2 linked regions of the Anolis sagrei genome follow. The protein of the gene in region 1 interacts with the protein of each later gene in a biochemical or structural test. Links are inferred from orthologs where the notes say so. Each region holds a gene or a part of one and is shown on either strand. Other genes may lie near its edges.

Region 1 (9,384 bases):
GGCCGACAGGGAGCTCTGGCGTGGGCTGGTCCATGAGGTCACGAAGAGTCGGAGACGACTGAACGAATGAACAACAACAACAACTGGAAGCTCAGAGAAGCCCAGCAGCACCTACTAGCATCCAGGATACTTTTAAATCCATTTCTCCCTTTTCTGAATAATTATATTGTCTTTAACCCCCAATAAACTGTGTTATCCTTAACTTCTGCCTCTATGTATCTCCTTTTGCCTCTCTGAGTGCATTTTATTTATATGTTATTGTGAAACAAAGTTGTTTCTTGTCTTGATCTTCCCAAAAATAAAAGGAGATAGATAGATAGATAGATAGATAGATAGATAGATAGATAGATGAAAACTTTGGAGACTGAAGCCACTCAGCATGACCTTGGTGACCTTTCATCAGCACCTCTTGACCTGGGAACTCTTTCTAGCCATTTTTTCCAGTCATCACCTAAGACAATGGACTCAATCACCCATCATCTATGACCCATACCACTGGCTGTGCAAAGATAACAGGCTTCGGAGATGGACCACCTGTTTATTGTACAACCACATGGACATTTCAAAAGACACTAATCACCTGGCATGGCAGCTCCCGATGGGGAGAGAATCATGCCCTGTTTTCCACAATGACATCGCCCCTTTCTCAGGAATGGGTTCATAATCCTATTATCATGAACAATATTTGCTGTTTGGAAATATAAAGGACACTGGTGCAGAGTCATCAGCCCGTGAGGTCGGGGTTCATAAAAACAATCACCAAGACAATAAAACTCATGGGACCCAAGCGCCCACATTGTTTGTCCCTGATGTTGGGACAAGGTAATCCAATCATAAAACTATATCTTCCTTTTTTGGAGTTTCCCCTGCCAACAATTGGAGAGTGCTCCAGCTGCATTGGAAGCAGGGAATACTCTTCCATTGGCCAGTGGATGCCACAGTCCAACCTCTGCAGGGAATCCTCCCTGGTGTCATCAGAGCTCAGTCAATTATGGTGGTGCTGGCCCATCTGGGGCAGGTGCAGGAATTTCAAAACACTGTATTGTATAAAAAAGTCTGCTGTTCACCGTAATGGTGTCTCAGCTTACTTTGGCAGATAACCACAAGTTGGCATCACTTTCAGCTGATTGAATAAAATACCTCAGTGGCTTCTTCAACTTGGTGAGCTTTCTTCAGGAACGTTGAGCTTCACTTGCCAGGCACACAGACTAACAGGGCAACCTGCAGCAGGTACCAGTATCCACTTATTAGGACTCCACATTTCAGTTATCCACATTTCAGGTTTTGCTATCAGCTATCTCACTATTCGCAGCCATTCTAAATTGCTCTAGTTCAGTGACACCACCAAGCTTCAGCTCCCAAGATTGATTCTACAGTATTGAGCCATGGCAAAGTGGGGTCAAACTGCATTAATTCTACAGAGTAGACGCACCCTGGGTGTGAGAAGGGCAACTGTGAGAAAACTAGACAAGATTGTGAAGTGTAAAGGTGTATAATTTAATTGTTTTAAACATCTAGGGAAACGTGTCAAATTATTAATGGACTATGTCTGATTTTTCCAATGACAAATGTCTTGACTAATTCAGATTATGACTCAGAGACCAGAATTCCAGGAAGTAGGAGACACTTGATCAAAATGGGGCCTATAAATACACCAATCTCTACCTGAATTATTTTATCAACAAGCAGTTAAAGTGAACTTAAAGTGCAGTGATGTACTGCATTGTTCACCAAGACCACAGTGCATTAAATTAATCTTATGACTTTCATCAACCATGTATGAAATATCTTAGGGAGATTACAAGCAATCCTGTTAGAAAGCTGTCTAAACTAATATCACAGGCTCATAAGCTAATTATATATGAATTAACTCTCAGACCTCCACCTACTGCTAATCAGCATTGATGAATGGCTGAAGTTCTAGCATGTTGAAAAGAAGTACATTATAATTAACTTTATTGTAAAGCAGGGATATGGAACTTCTGATTTGCCAGCCTCTATGAGCCTTATTTCACAGGGTGCACATACTGTAAAAATAATGTAGTTTGACATCACTTTCACTGCCAAGACTGAAAGCTATAGAACAATGGAAGTTGTAGTTGGGTGAGATCCCCAGCACTCTTTGGCATAATAATAATATTATTATTAATAATAATAATAATAATAATAATAATATATTTATAACCTGCCCTCTCTCCCTGAAGGGACTCAGGGCAGTTTACAGAGAAGGCTAAAGACCTTGTAAAACTACAATTCTGATTATTCTATAACACTGAGCCATGGCAGTTAAAGTGGTGACAAACTGCATTATTTCTGCAGTGTTGATGTGCCCACAACGTGTTCTCTTTCCTCTAATGCTGTGTAGGCATTTGATTAGCTATAAGAATTGTGTCTCATCAGCACTGAAGTAGGACAATCTTATTCAATCTAATGCAAGAAACTATCTTCTATTAATGAAGACAAAAGGCATTTAAAGTTGTCACTTTTCTTGCATTGCTTTCATACAATGGTTGAATCTCTCTCTCTCTCTCTCTCTCTCTCTTGGTAACTAGTGTGTTAAAATCCAGTAAAAGGAGGATTCCCTATTGATGTTTGTGTTATGCATGGGAGGCTTAGGGGCAGCCAAACACACCCCGAAATAATTGCATCACCTGACAGGACACATTTTATGATGTATCGTATTTTCCAACATATAAGACGACTGGGCATATAAGACGACCCCCAACTTTTCCAGTTAAAATATAGAGTTTGGGATATACTCACTGTATAAGACTACCTGTCTTCCAATGCACACCAAATAAAAATTTAAAAATCAGATTCAATTTCAATATGGTAATTTTCCTATTACTGTATCTCCTTCTCTGCCTCTCAGATCTTGCACATGCGCACTTCACTGCAGTCTTCAGGAGCGAGATCTGAGAGGCAGAGGACTGGTACGATAATAGGATACAAGGGCGAGCCAGACAGGTAAAAGAGTTGTGTTTTTCTGGGCCCAGAGCCACTCTATCACTTTTTTCCATACCCCGGGCACCCTGGACGCCTGCAGCTTGCTCTGCCCTTCACTTACATCTTCCCGGTGAGGTGCCCCTTCACCTCACCATTGGGACCACATTAAGTCCACGAATCCTGATGAATGTATTTTCTTCTACTGTACTTGTACAGCGTCGCCCTTAATGCGTTCATACAGTCGCTGCATAAGACAGGGACGCAGCTACTGCCATTTTTGAGCCCCCCCCCCCCCCCCATATGCGGCAACCACAGATTCTCCAATCTGGATTGGAAGTTTCAGCACCCGCTCTATAAGATGACTCCCGGTGTATAAGATGACCCCTGACTTTTTGAGAAGTTTTTTTGGATTTAAAAGGAGTCTTATACACCAGAAAATACGGTAGTTGAAATATTCCACCTCTTTATTTAATTTTAACTCTGTAGTGTGATAAACTGACACAGCTATGAGATGGAGGATGAGGGCATTGTTCCTCCAAATGTTTCAGCCTCAATAAAATGTTCCTTCCTTTCCAAAAATTCTAGTAGGTAAATCTAGAACACCTAGAATTCTTAAATGTACTGAGTTAACAATAACGACAATATTTATACACCCATCAGTGAATTTACTGAGTTTGCATTATCTTTTCCTTTAATGCTTTAAAATCTACGGTATTTCTGAATGGTTGACTTAAGTTTTAAGTTACTACAAAAACAGAAAAAATAATTTAGGATATGGTTTCTAATGAGGGAGGCAACTGGACTCTGATCATGCAGACCGGAGGAGTTTTATTAGCAACCGCCTGTAGCAAAATCCTCTTCCTGTGAGATTTTGCCTTATGAAGATTTTGCCTTTTAAATCCAAAAAAACTTCAGATACTTATTATATTTACTTTGTGTTGTCAAAGGCTTTAATGGTCAGAATCACTGGGTTGCTGTGAGTTTTCCGGGCTGTATGCCCATGTTCCAGAAGCATTCCCTTCTGAAATTTTGCCCACGTCTATGGCAGGCATCCTCAGCGGCTATGACGTCTATTGGAAATTAGGCAAGTGAGGTTTATATATCTGTGGAGTGTCCAGGGTGGGAGAAAGAACTCTTGTCTGTTTGAGGCCAGTGTGAATGCTGCAATTGGCCACCTTAATTATTTAATGGCCCTGCAGCTTCAAAGCTTAGCTGGTTGCTGCCTGGGGGATCCTATCTTGGGAGGTATTAGCTGGCCCTGATTCATTCTTGCCCGGAATTCCCGTTTTTGTTTGTTTGTTTGTTTTTAGTGTTGCTCTGTGTAGTATGACATGGATCAGGACAATAAATAAAAAGCAACACTAAAAAAAAAAAAAAAACCAGGGGAATTTCAGGCAAGAATGAATCAGGGCCAGCTAATACCTCCCAACAAAGGATCCCCCAGGCAGCAACCAGCCAAGCTTTGAAGCTGCAAGGCCATGAAATGATAATTTAATGGCCTTGCAGCCACTGAAATCCACAAGCATGTGGATAATAGCCACGAAAATGAACAAGATCTGGCCACCAGTATTAAAAAAACTCTGAAATCAGGAAAGTAAGTAAACATCAGACAGAATCTGCTGCCTTTACGATATTCAGTGTGTTCAGCCGTCTTGACTTCTGGAGAGAGTTCAGACTTGATTTGCCCATGTAATCGGCTTTTTGGCAACTCATGGCATGCGTAGAATTCAGTGGCTGCAAGAACAATGATAATTTAATGGCCTTGCAGCTTCAAAGCTTGGCTGGTTGCTGCCTGGGGACCCTCTAGTCCAGTGGTTCTCAACCTGTGGGTCCCCAGGTGTTTTGGCCTTCAACTCCCTGAAATCCTAACAGGTGATAAATTGACTGGGATTTCTGGGAGTTGCAGGCCAAAACACCTGGGGACCTACAGGTTGAGAACCACTGCTCTAGAGATACAGATGGACCGATCTTGAAATGAGCATTACATGCAGCTTTCTGAATAAAAGGTGGGGGTCCTTTTATTTTGTCGACTAGCCGAGTGCCTGATTCTAAGGAACTGCATGTATCGAACCGAAGCTATTTTAGAAGGGACCGTGCCGGTTCCCCTTCTCCTGTTTTTCACGGTATGAGGAGAAAATTAGCCTTGGGAACTTCGTTTCAAGAATCTGAGAAGTATAATTCTAACAGGCAATTTGGAAGACAGCCTCAACGGCGGGGAAAGAAAGGGTCCATATCTATACGGTCACACCTTCCCGAGGAAGAAAGAAGGGGAATATCAAAGGAATAGTGTGAATAGGTCTATATTTTTTCCTACCTCTCTGGGCAGGAACGGGGAGAGGGAAGAATGCGCTTGCGCGGCGGAGAACGTCCTTACGTCAATGTGCGCGCGGCTGACCGAGAAGGACGGCGATTGGCTGGCTGCTTTCCAAGCCTCCTCGCGAGAGGGAGGAAGGCTTGAGCGGCGGAGAAGCGCGAAGGCAGGCGGCCGGGAAGGAGAGCGATGGAGGAGGTGGACGAGGAGCCCACGGTCACGGTGCGGAGCGGGGCCTGCGGGATAAGTGCATGCAGTGGGACACCACTTTAACGGGCGTGTCACTGCTGTGGAATCCTGGGAAGTGTCTTTTCTTAGGGTCTTTAGCCGCCTCTGCCGAACAGTGCTGGGGCCTCCCCAAACTACAAATCCCAGGGTTGCCATAGCACTGAGCCATGGCAGTTGAAGTCATGTCAAACTGCATTAAATTCTGTGGTATAGATCCCCTTTGAGACAGAGTTTTTAAGGAAACTTCTGGGCTGAAAATGATGATAACAATAATAATACTAATAGTTGAAGTAACAATGAATTGATAGGAATGTTTCATGCTGACTCAAGGGATGAAATGAGGACAAAACCAAGGTACTCCCAACTTTGGAATATCCTTCTAAACCCTGACAATTGGGAAAAGGAATCAAAGGATCACTCACACAACAAGCAAGTAAGCACTCATGAAATGTGGCAGGCAATTATGATGCATTGGAAATTTCATGGTAAGGTAAAGGTAAAAGTTTTCCCCTGACATAAAGCCTAGTCGTGCTCATCTCCATTTCTAAACCAAAGAGCAGGCGTTGTCCATAGATGCCTCCAAGGTCAGCATGACTGCATGAAGCGCCATTACCTTCCTGTCGAAGCAGTACCTATTGATCTACTAATATTTGCATGTTTTCAGACTGCTAGGTTGGCAGAAGCTGGGCTTAAACGTGGGAGCTCACCCCGCTCCCTGGATTTGAAACGCCAACCTTTTGGTCAGCAAGTTCAGCTGCTCAGTGGCTTAACCTGCTGTGCCACCAAGGGGCCCTTTCACAGTAACAACAGAAGAAATAATGGATGCATCTACACTGTAGAGTTCAGGCAGTTTGACACCACTTTGACTGCCAAGGCTCAATGCTGTGGGATCCTGGGAATTGTAGTTTGCTGATGCACCAGTCCTCTTTGGCAGAGAAGGCTGGAGGCCTTGTAAAGCTACAACTCCCAGGACTCCCTGGCATTGAGCCAGAGCAGTTATAGTGCTGTCAAACAACATCAGTACTATGATGGACACAGTTTAATATAATCATAGAAAGATAGAGTTGGAAGAGACCGCATGGGCCATCTAGTCCACCCCCTCCCATGTAGGAAAAGCACAATCAAAATATCCCTGACAAATAGCCACCAAAAAGGAGCTTCCACCATACCCCAAGGCAGATAGTGAATGACAGGAAAATAATTTTATGTTGGGATATTATTTATTTATTTATTTATTTACTGCATTTGTTGACCGCCGTTCTCAGCCCTAGGGCGACTCACGGCGGTGTACAACATATAGAAACAGTTTACAATAAGGGATATAAATGTTTCCCTTCATAAATTAAGTTAGTTTAATTCAGACCTGTGTGTGCTTGTGCCAGCTAGCCTTGTAAATGTCTGCATCTACAGTAGTGGGAAACTATTGGAGCCATTAGCCTTCCAGGAGGCTTCCTCCTTCAACAACAACAACCACCATCATCATGAAGAAGCTGGGGCTTACAGTGGGAGCTTACCCCACTCCCCAGATTCGAACCTGCAACCTTTCGGTCAGCAAGTTCAGCCACTCAGTTGTTTAACCCGCTGTGCCACCACAGTACTTCCCTCTTTTCTGATTTTGTTTCCACCATGTATGTATTTCCAGTACTTTTGAAAAGTATATTTTTGTATGTAAATATCCTATGTCACTATGTTTCCCTGTGCTATCCTCTCATTTTCTTTGAAAAACAGCTGATTCCTGGAGTAAACTCAGACAAGAAACAGTTATGCTTTTCGTGGGGACCTGGGGAGATGCTGGTGTGTGAAACCTTGTTTAGATCTGCAGGTTGGCATTATGTTACTATCTTACAAGCTTTTGTTGTGTTTTACAAATTCATGATAGCAAATACATTGCAATGGTGAGCTGTATTTTCTTTTTTGCTTGCAATAAGATTTGATGGGCTTTCTGGTTCAAAGGGATATCTAGGTCCCTTTCACACAGCCATATAACCCCGAATATAAAGGCAGATAATCCACAATATCTGCTTTGAACTGGGTTATCTGAGCCCACACTGCCATATAATCCAGTTCAATGTAGATTTTATACAGCTGTGTGGAAGGGGCCCTAGTCTCTGAAACTAGATAGGCTCAATATGATCCATACCTGGATGGGAAACTTTTTGGGACATCACTCACAATGCAACTGGAGATATACCGTATAAGCTTTCTTCAGTAGATGAATAATTGTATGAAGAACTCCATTAACGATCCTCAAGAGCTGCTTTTGTAGAGTTCCCAAACAGAACTTCACAAAATATCCATTGAAATTAAGTCCTTTAAGTATTTTGGTTCCAAGTTGTTTTCTTATGACTTAAACAAAAACATCAAACTCTTGAATTTGACCAAGTTGCACATTAGCAACCAGTATGAATCCTTGAGTGCATCCCTTGTGTCCAGTTGATCACCCTTTCTTGTCAGTCAGTGAGCAGCTGCATTCTGCACCAGCTGCAACGTCTGAAGCATTTTGAATGGTTGACTTACATAGGAGGCATTGCAGTAATCTGATTTGCGGTTACCAGTTTCTGAACCACCATGATCAGGTTGAATTATCTGAAGCTCCTAATTACTGAGCTCAGTGGGGATTCAAACAATTTCAGTGAATGCAGGCACACACCCCTGAGTATAGGTATGGGAACCACTCATCACAGCACCTCCATCTTGTCTGAATACAAGGCAAAACAATGTTATTGCTTTATTAAGTTTATCTCTTTTTTAAATAGATGTTTTTATTGCAGACACAGGTAGAATGATATCACAATTCATCACCATTTCCGAATATATATCAAATATTGTTTTCATAGTGTTCTTATTCTTATCTATTCCACCTTTATCTCCCACTTGTTTCTATTGATTTTACACCCCTCTACTACTCCCCCCACCCCCTGGGAACAGTACTTGTATTCATTCAAATATTATTTTAATTGAACAATCGTGGAAAGAGAATGGTTCAGCTCTTTATATCTTTCTTTTCCTTTGACCTTTTCTATCAGTCTTCCCCATTTCTGAACCCAGGTCTTTTTGATTCGGCATGATGTATCTTTGGCTCTTCTTTCAGAGATGTAGTCCTGAAGCATAAAATCTAGGTAACCATACCATTTTTAACTTCCCACTTTCTATGTTCTTTCCACCCCAAGGCCACAGTTGCTTGGGTGGCAACTATCATATATTTTATAATTTCCCCCCAAGCTTTGATGTTTTTGTTCTTGTCTGATATCTGGGTGAAACATTCTTTTTTTATTCAAAACCAATTTATGCCCTATTAATTCTTCCATTTCCTTCTTTACCTTATTATAAAAATCTTGTACTTTGTCGCATTCCCACCACATATGTATATAGGAGCCAATTTTTCGACATCTGTGCCAACACAATTTTGCGGTTATTTTAGTTATGTGAGCTAGTTTAATTGGGGTTCTATACTATTTAGTTAGTATTTTCCTTTGTGTTTCTCTAATCTTTATATACTTGATATTTTTGATTGATTTGATCCAGTGTTCAGTGTCTGAATCATTGTTATTTATATCCTCTTTCCATATTTCTACCAATGCTTGTTTCAAATTATATTGAATTCCAACTAATTTTTTGTATATGGACCCCTCCAGGCCTTTCTCCTTTTCTAGTTTCCACTTTAAAATTCGATCAAAATCTGTGTCTGGGCTTTCCTTTTTCCTCCACTTCATGATCCTTTGTTCCAATCCATTCCAAAGGAGCCAGTTACATTGACCACATTTTTCCTTTATCGTCTCCCAATCCTTAATGGTCCCATCTGGGTTTAGGAGATCTTTTATCAATTTCATTCCATTTTGTTTCACATTTGTTATCACTTTGCCAAATATCTGTTCTTTTTTATTGTCTAGAAATCCTAC
Region 2 (9,649 bases), on another chromosome or scaffold:
GTTGTCATTTAGAAACCCCGACCACTATATAATATATATGTCTATTTAGCTCTCTGTATCCACGAATTCCACGGATTCCCTCGACTCTTCCTTTGAAGGCATCCATAATAACAACAACACTGACGAGGTCCTCGATAAAAATGAGCTGGGTGCCTGCGCGTGCGCCCTTTCCTGAGGAGGAAGAAAAAGCTCCTCTCCCCCCCCCCCCGCTCCCCCGCGCGCACTTTCCCCCGCGTTCGATCTCCAACTGCCTCCAAGGCGAGGGCCGACGACGCAACAGCTACTCCCTAGCGACGTTTTTTTTTTTTGGCGAGGGGGGGGGAGTGGCGCGTGCGAGAAGTGCGCGCGCGCGCGGGGAAGTATATATATATGTGTGTGTGTGTGTGTGTGCTCGCGCGCTAATGGCCTATGAATGGCCGGCGCGCGCCCTAGCCACTCCCTCCTTCCCCCAGCCCTCCTCTCAATCTCCCACTCCCTTCTTTCTCTCCCTCCCTCCCCCGCCCCCTTCAGGAGGCCAGCGCGCACGCGGACACCCACACAGAGATCCCTATAGACAGGCGGGCGGGCCGGGCGCGCGCGCACTCGCTCGCTCGCTCGCTCGCTCACTCACTGCGGAGGTTGTGGATGAGCTCGGAGTGGCTGGCGCCTCCTGACTTCCAGGCCATGGCGAGGCAGATTCTGCGGAGCAGGTAGAGAGCCGCCTTCAGCGCCGCGACTGCGCACAGGAGCTTGCCCAGGAAGGACACAACCTCCAGCGCCGAGACAGGCGCCGCCTCCTCCTCCTCCGCCGCCGCCCTCCCTCCCCTCCTCGCCGCCGCTGTTGCTGCTGCTGCTACCGCCGCGCGCCCGCCGGAGGGAAGGGCCGTTCCCTCGCCCCCCCGCGCGCGCCACATTCTCAACGGCCCTCGCGACGGGCACCCGCCGCCCCCGCCGCTGCCGCCGGTGTGCGCAGGCGCAGAGGGGAGCGCCAAAGGAGCTGGCGGGGAAACACAGCGCGGGGGGCGCCTTCGCAGACCACATGAGGGAGATGAAGGAGCTGAAGTGAAGGAGGGAGAGTCTTTGAAGGGGGCTCTTGATCCCTAACTAAATATAGGTGCCCCCCCCCCCAAATAATGTGTGCCCTTAGTAGAGTCTTATTGTTGTGTTTTAGTAGGATTTGTGTGTTTGATGCTGCTTTTATTTTAATCTGTCTGAATGATTAACTTCTTGGCAATGGAATGTTTTGCCTTATATGTTGGAACCCGCCTTGAGTCCCTTTGGGGAGATAGGGCGGTATACAAACGAAGTTAAATCTGATTTGGCCATGGTGGTCCATGTCCCAGGCACCTCTAGATTGGATTACTGCAACACGCTCTACGTGGGGTTGCCCTTGAAGACGGCCCGGAAGCTACAGTTGGTCCAAAGATCTGCGGCCATACTACTTATAGGAGCTGGTTACAGGGAGCAATCCACCCCCCTGTTTAAACAGCTCCACTGGCTTCCAATAAGTTTCCGGTCCCAATTCAAGGTGCAGGTTATTACCTATAAAGCCCTAAACCAGTGCTTCTCAACCTTGGGTCCCCAGATGTTTTTGGCCTACAACTCCCAGAAATCCCAGCCAGTTCACCAGCTGTTAGGATTTCTGGGAATTGTAGGCCAAAAACATCTGGGGACGCCAGGTTGAGAAACACGGCCCTAAACGGTTCGGGACCTGCTTATCTCCACGATTGCATCTTCCTCTATGAACCAGCGCGCACCTTGACATCATCCAGGGAGGCACTACTCTCTCTCCCTCTGCTGTCTCAAACACAGTTGGTGGGGACGAGGGAGAGGGCCTTCTCGATGGTGACTCCCAGACCCTGGAACTCCCTCCCTAGGGAGATCAGACAGGCTCCTACTTTGTCCTCTTTCCAGACACAACTAAAAACCTGGGTGTTCCGGTGTGCTTTTGATTAGGCAGTCCACCAGTAATTTTCCCTGTCCCTACGTTAAGTTCAGCACTTTACACCTGCCCTTTTAGCAGCCTACCTCAACACTTTTGATGCCACTATTCCCAGCCCTGTCTACTTGATTGTTGCACTTGATAATAAATGAAATGAAAACCCTTGTTGTTTTCAATTGTGATTGTTTTCATATGTTATCTTATGTTTTTAATTGATTGTGTTTTATTTGTAATTGTTGGGCTTGTCCCTTGTAAGCCACCCTAAGTCCCCACAGGGAGATGGTTGGCGGGGTATAAAAATAAAGTTGTTGTTGTTGTTATGCCATATAATGTAGTTTCAGAATGCAGATTATTTGCACCGAACTGGATTATATGAGTCTACGCTGCCATGTAATCCAGTTCAATGCAGTTGATCTGCATTCTGAAACAGTATTACAATAGAGTCTTGCTTTTTATTTATTTATTTACTACATGTATACCCTGCCCCGAAGGGGACTCAGAGTGGCTTACAAGTTATTTGTACATACAATATATTATATTATTAGCATAGCACAAAATTAGCATTATATATTACTATATTGTACTATACCACCATACTGTAATATTTGATGCAATATATATCATTATTATATTGTATTGTTATTAGTAGTAGTGTTATATTGCATTACATTATAATATTAATATTATATGTGTATACAATATATTATTAGCATAGCACAAAATTAGCATTATATATTACTATATTGTACTATACCACTATACTGTAATATTACATGTAATATAAACAGGTCAGTGGAATGTTGGATAAGCAAAAATGTTGGATAATAAAGAAGGATTAAGGAAAAGCTTATTAAATGTCAAATTATGTTATGATTTTCCAAGTTAAGTACCAAAACACCATGTTTTACAACAAATCGACAGAAAAAGCAGTTCAATACACGCTAACGTTATGTTTTAATTACTGTATTTACGAATTTAGCACCAAAACATCGCAATGTATTGAAACAGCTGTGGATCCAGGCATTAGGCAGACTGCATTAGATAATACAGAGCGTTGGATGCGTGAAGGTTGGATAAGTGAGACTCTACTATAGTAGCTAAAGTGGTTATTTGAAGCTTAAACCCTGTATGTCCCAGATGTAGAGCCCACATATGCATTTGGCCTGTAGAGAAAAATATATATAACCATAACCTAAATTTTGAATTAAATTATAATTTTATGCAAGGGGTTCAAATGGTTGCCAACTTGCAGATCTCATTTTAAACATTATCCTGTATACCAACCATGGGCAAACTTTGGCCCTCCAGGTGTTTTGGGCTCCAATTCCCAAAAACCAATTCCCAAACACCGCATTGACATGGCACAACATAGGTAGTGTATTTGTGGTACTGGTGCTGGAGGAAAAATTCTGAGAGTGCCTTGGACCTCAAGATGATCAAAACAGTCCATACTGCTCTCTGGAGGGAAGGATATTAGAGGCAAAGATGAAGTATGCTACTTTGGCCACATAATGAGAAGACAGGAAAGATAATGATCCTGGAGAAAAATGAAAGAAAAAGGAAGAGGGGTCGATCAAAGGCAAGATGGATTGATGGTATCCTTGAAGTGACTGGCTTGACTCTGAAGGAGCTGGAGGTAGTGACGGCCGACAGGAAACTCTGGTGAGGCCTGGTCCATGAGGTCATGGAGAGTCAAATGATTGAACGAATAAACAACAACAAATTTGTGGTACTGCATAAAAGGCTGCTCCAAGTATCACTTGGGGAACTCGGGAAATGTGATTTATGTTTAGGAAACAAGTGCAACATATGTATGTATCTATGTATCTGTAGAGAACAACCTCTTCTCAAATGGAAACCTAACTTTGCATATACTGTACCATATTTACTTGAGTCTTAACACTCACCTTTTTGGGCTAAATTACCGTGCCAAAATTAGGGTGCACATACAATTCGCGTCATACAGTAATCTTAGTGACCCCAAAGGGAAACAGTGTTCAAGAGAGCAAACTTAAAGGCACCAGGAGGGTGAGGAGGGACAATGACAATGTGTTGTCGAAGGCTTTCATGGCAGGAATCATTGGGTTGCGGTGGGTTTTCCAGGCTGTATGGCCATGTTCAGGAAAGAACTCTCCCGATGACAAGAAATCTGCTTGTGTACACCTTGTTATATCCACATCAGCGCATTAGCACTCATAACTATTGGCAAAATGCTTATGAGGAGCAGCATATCTCAGAGAGTCATTAACAAAAAAAGGTGAAAGAACTTTTGGCAGCTCTCCTGTAGCTTTGGCGGTTCCCTTGCTTCCACGTTAGCCAAACCTTTCTGGGCACCACGAGACCATTTCCAAGGACTAATGACTTCATGTGTGGACTCTCTTTAAGGTAACCAGATTTTAATCCCACTTCCTAACTCTGGATTAAGTGGCTGTCTGGGGAAAAAAGAGAAACTTCTTAAAAATATGCTAGAAAAATGGGACAGCATAGAATTAAACGAGACCCTTCCTGCCAAATTGGGACAGATATGACTATGCCATAAAGGCCTTTGCCAGTCCCAAGAAGCTCCCATTCATCCCACTTGTTAGTCCATGGCCCTATCCACACTGCCATATAATCTAGTTTCAGAATGCAGATTAACTTCATTGAACTGGATTATATGGCAGCGTAGACTCCAGTTCGATGTGGTTCAATCTGCATTATAGGAGTGCACACTGACCATTATAATGCAGTTCAAACTGGGTTATATGGCAGTATAGATGGGGCCTCGTCCAAAAACAGACTTTATTTCTTGACTTGCTCATCTTCTCTATTACCTCCTTTGTGGCTCCTGCACCCCTCTCCTCTCTAATTTATTTCCCTTCTACATTTCACAGTCAGTATGCCATAGCATTGAGTCATTCATGACAGGTAAACTGCATGAAATCTGCAGTGTAGTTGCAGCCCTTGTCGTTTTGGTCTTTCCGAATAGACTTAATTGGTGAAAACACCAACAGAGTCTGGGTTGCTGTGAGTTTTCCAAGCTGTATGGCCATGTTCCAGAAGCATTCTCTCCTGAAGAAACCAGCATGGACACAGCATATTATTTGAGAACACAGAAATGCTGGACTACTAACATCTACCATGTTAGATTACACTGAGAAGCTACTGAAATCCACAAGCATGTGGACAATTTCAACAGAATGGAGGAAACCATGAAAATGAACAAAATCTGGCTACCACTATTTTAAAAAATCAGGACAGTGAATAAAAAGCAACATTCAAAAAACAGGGGAATTCCAGACAAGAATCAATCAGAGCCAACTAACACCTCCCAACAAAGGATCCCCAGGCAGCAACCAGACCGGCTTTGAAGCTGCAAGGCCATTAAATGCTAATCAAAGTGGCCAATTGCAACATTCACACTTGCCTCAAGCAGGCAAGAGTTCTTTCTCCCACCCTGGACATTAAAGTCAGGAGAGAATGCTTCTGGAACATATCCACACAGCCCGGAAAACTCACAGCAACCCATTGATTCCGACCATGAAAGCCTGCGACAACACAGCCAACAAAGTCCGTTCCAGCAGCCTTCCCAGTAGAGAGTATTGACCTTTGTGGGTTGCCGTCTCACGTGGTGCTCGCCGTCCAATAGGAAAGGGGCGCATGCAAGCCGGGGGGAGGGCCTCGGCTGCGGCGGGAAGGAAGGAAGGAGCTTGTCTCTGGCGGCGAAGCATGGAGGAGGTCTTGGCCCGATATGTCTCCCAGAAAGTCAGCAAGACCCGCTGGCGGCCCCTCCCTCCCGCTGCCCTCCAGCCCCCGGAGGTCTTCGCCACGGGATCCTGGGACAACGAGGTGAGGCCTGGGAGGTGGAGCTTGGCAAGGCCATGGGAGAGGTCGGGCCTTCACCGAACTACAACTCCCATGAATCCATAGCACCGAGACATGGCAATTAAAGTGGGCCAATGCATTAATTCTGTAATATAGAAGAGGCATAAGCAAACTTGGGCCCTCCAGGTGTTTTGGACTTCGACTCCCACAATTCCTCGCAGCCTCAGGCTGCGAGGAATTGTGGGAGTCGAAGTCCAAAACACCTGGAGAGCCCAAGTTTGCCCATGCCTGGTTTAGGCCATTCTAGTATAGTGTCTAGATCAGGCGTCCTCAAACTTTTTAAACAGAGGGCCAGGTGACAGTCCCTCAAACTGTTGGAGGGTCGGATTATAATTTGGGGGGAAAAACATGAATAAATTCCTATGCACACTTTGTAGTGCAAAAAACACTTTAAAACAATACAATACAATAATTAAAATGAAGAACAATTTTAACAAATATAAACTCATTAGTATTTCAATGGGAAGTTGTGAGCCTGCTTTTGGCTGATGTGATAGGGTTGTTGTTGTTGTTGTTGTTGTTGTTTGCTTTCAAGTAGTTTCAGACCCTGAGCGAGGGCCAGGTAAATCACCTTGGAGGGCTGTATCCGGCCCCTGGGCCTTAGTTTGAGGACCCCTGGTCTAGATCCAGGGAAGTCATGCTACCCCTCTATTCTGCCTTGGTATTCCATCTGGAATAGTGTGTCCAGAGGAGGGTGACTAAAATGATTAAGGGTCTGGAGAACAAACCCTTTGAGAAGCGGCTTAAAAAGCTGGGCATGTTTTGCATCCAGAAGAGAAGGATGAGATGAGACATGATGACCATGTATAAATATATGAGGGCAAGTCATAGGGAGGAGGGAGCAAGCTTGTTTTCTGCTGCCCTGGAGACTAGGACGCGGAACAATGGCTTCAAACTACAGGAAAGGAGATTTCACCTGAACATTAGAAAGAATTTCCTAACTGTAAGAGCTGTTCAGCAGTGGAACTCTCTGGCCCAGAGTGTGGTTGTGGCTCCTTCTTTGGGGGCTTTTAAACAGAGGCTGGGTGGGGGGAGAGGGTGCTTTGAATGTGATTTCCTGCTTCTTGGCAGGGGGTTGGACTGGATGTCCCACAAGATGTCTTCTAACTCTATGATTCATATGCAGTAACTTTTCCTTATCCTGGTTGTTTTTCTTTTTTGTTATTCTCTCTCTCTCTCTTGGTAATCTTATAGGAAAATAAGGTGTCTTTTTGGTCTGTTGGAGACTTGGGAAGTTTGAACACAAATGGAGAATATAACGCAGAACCGCATCTTTTGTGTGATATTCAACATAGTGGCGATGTTATGGATATGCAGGTAAAAGGCTATAAAATGACTTTAAAGCTTTCCAAGCACTGTGTTATTGATGTCACTAAAGTTACACAGTATAAATGGGACACTGGTTCTGTTTGATACTTTATTTCAATACAAATTCATATCTGAATATTTTGTCCTTAGTTTTTGGACCAGGAAAGAATTGTAGCTGCTTCATCCACTGGAAGTGTGACTGTTTTTCGGCACCATCAAAATAATCAGGTAAATTAATCAGGTTTGCTTACATCTATTCTGTTGTACAAAAAATTACCTTGCTCTCAAGAAAACACAAGGCAGAAAAAAGTTGGTTTGTGGGCAAGGTGATCAAGTAGGTCACAGCAAGATATTCTTATATTAAATGGCTTTTCCAGATCTATTTCAGTTGCTTAGTCTAGTGAATAAAACTGCTTCTATCTCTCCACCACCACAGGAGAGACAATAACAATGTGACTCCATTCATTTTTCTGGATCACTCAGCAGCTTTAATTGCCATTGGTGCTGTTATCTTTTTTTGAGAAGTTGTGTGTAGGAGATACAGATTTTCAATGGCTTTGCTTGTATTTAGATTGCTATTTTTTAAAGGTCATATTGAGGGATTTCTTGTCACTTGCATAGCATTTGTGCTTTGAGGTTCCTCTGGGCTACATTTTCTTTATTACACTGCATTACACAGGGAGCAGATAACACTGTCATATAAATTAGTTGATCTAGCCCAGTATTGTGAACACTAACTGGCAGCAACCCTGCAGGTGCGTATTTCTCCCAGCCCTATCTGGAAATACCTGTTGGCCTCTCTATTCAAGTGCTAATCATTCCTAACTATGCTAAGCTTCTGAGATTAGGCAACATTTGTGTGAAACTGTTGTGTGAGGTCATCTAGAGATTTAAAGTGATTTAAGGATGATGTCCAGCTCCATTTCCTTTTTCATCAGTGGATGTGTTTCATCAGTGGCTGGCTGCAGGGCTGAATTAGGGCCAGCACAGGTTGAACACCCCTTATCTGAAATTCTGAAATCCAGGATCTAAAATAATCTTTATCCATAGCTGAGATAGTGACACATTTGCTTTCTGATGGTTCAGTGTACATGCACTTTGTTTCATGCGCATCATTTAAAACATTTGTATATAGAATTACCTTCAGGCTGTGTGTATAAGATGTATGTATCACATAAGTAAAATTCATATTTAGGTTGGGGTTCCATCAAGATCTCATTACATATTTGCAAACAACAACAGATCTAAAACATTTTGAGTAAGGGATACTCAACCTATATTGAATTCAATCAAGATAAGTCTGAGGTACTACTTTGGGGCTGCTTGTTCAGGTTGCTCCTTTAAGTGATTATCCTGATAGTTTGTGGGGCTGTCTTTATAATTAGGAATACAAGTATCATTTGTACACAGGTCATCTTTTACTGCCTTTGTCTGAGATTCCAGCTACAAGGCACCCCAGGCCATTTTGGCAGCTCCCATGGGGTCCCACAGTCTCCTCTTCAAATTCAGGCAAGGAGGAAATACTGGTGTTCGTGACTCTCTTTCTCTCTCAGTGTCTCTCTCTTCTAAGTCTTGGTCATTACATTTTTTCCACATGCCCATTTTCATTGTTTTTCTTTGGTTTTTCAGACTCTATCTGTAAGCCAAAAATGGGAAAATGCACATTTCTATGACCCATCTCATGGAAATGCACCCTGCACCGGGATTGTCTGCAACAGCCCTGAAATTTTTACAGTTGGTGAAGATGGGAGGATAAATGTATTCACAGTGGACCGGAAGGAAGCTGTGCGTACTGTAGGTAGGCAGTTAAGATGCCTGTACTAAAGTTCTAAACTATTATTCCAACATAGTGTTGTAGCCTTCAGTGCAGAACCCCTTAAATGCAGGAAAAATAAAATCATTTGTCTTTACCTGGGAAGTTATTGTAGCATGCCTGAAGTATCAATATTTTAAAGTGAATTTATATGACACCAGTAATATGAAAAACACTTTTTTGAACATGGTGGATCAGGTCTCCTGCCCTATCTCTTTGCTGAAGTACAGAAAGTTCTTTGCTAGATATCTGTAAACCGTATCCAGTTAGAGTTCCTTAGAGAATGCTATCAGTTCCCAAAGTTGTAAACAGTATTATCTAATAGGTAAATCAACATCAGCATTCCCCTTAAGAGTCTCTTAAGCTTTGGACTCTGAATTTTCAAAATGTATATGGCACATAGTTGGCATAACCTTACAGTTGCTTATTTGTTTACTGCACTAATTCTAGCATGCTTTAAATCAAAAGGACTGATATGAGTGTCTCTTTTAATTTCTCAGACAATGCTGACAGCAGCACACTTCATGCAGTGACTCGACTTCGCACAACAGAAATCTTGACAGTGAATTCCATTGGTCAGCTAAAAATATGGGATTTCAGACAGCAAGGAAATGAGCCTTCACAAATATTTTCATTGTAAGCACTTCATTCTGAGCTTATGGGCACTGTCAGAGCCAAATGTCACACTGTAACTACGGTATGTGACATTTTATTCAGCTAGGACTCTGACTACTGTCTTTGTG

What was found.
Region 2: the proteins of NUP85 (region 1) and NUP43 form a complex in vitro, tested with the Homo sapiens proteins (2 studies listed by BioGRID). The link is inferred for Anolis sagrei from reciprocal best matches to the Homo sapiens genes NUP85 and NUP43.

The regions. Positions count from the first base shown.
Region 1 is NC_090022.1:117,259,027-117,268,410, forward strand, and holds the start of NUP85 (nuclear pore complex protein Nup85), read left to right. Parts: upstream 1-5,351; 5' UTR 5,352-5,446; coding exon 5,447-5,479; intron 5,480-7,213; coding exon 7,214-7,307; intron 7,308-9,384. UniProt on the Homo sapiens protein: Essential component of the nuclear pore complex (NPC) that seems to be required for NPC assembly and maintenance. As part of the NPC Nup107-160 subcomplex plays a role in RNA export and in tethering NUP96/Nup98 and NUP153 to the nucleus.
Region 2 is NC_090021.1:73,296,246-73,305,894, forward strand, and holds the start of NUP43 (nucleoporin Nup43), read left to right. Parts: upstream 1-5,601; 5' UTR 5,602-5,629; coding exon 5,630-5,749; intron 5,750-6,979; coding exon 6,980-7,102; intron 7,103-7,243; coding exon 7,244-7,321; intron 7,322-8,722; coding exon 8,723-8,891; intron 8,892-9,406; coding exon 9,407-9,542; intron 9,543-9,649. Other genes in the region: PCMT1 (protein-L-isoaspartate(D-aspartate) O-methyltransferase), read right to left, coding at 611-893. UniProt on the Homo sapiens protein: Component of the Nup107-160 subcomplex of the nuclear pore complex (NPC). The Nup107-160 subcomplex is required for the assembly of a functional NPC.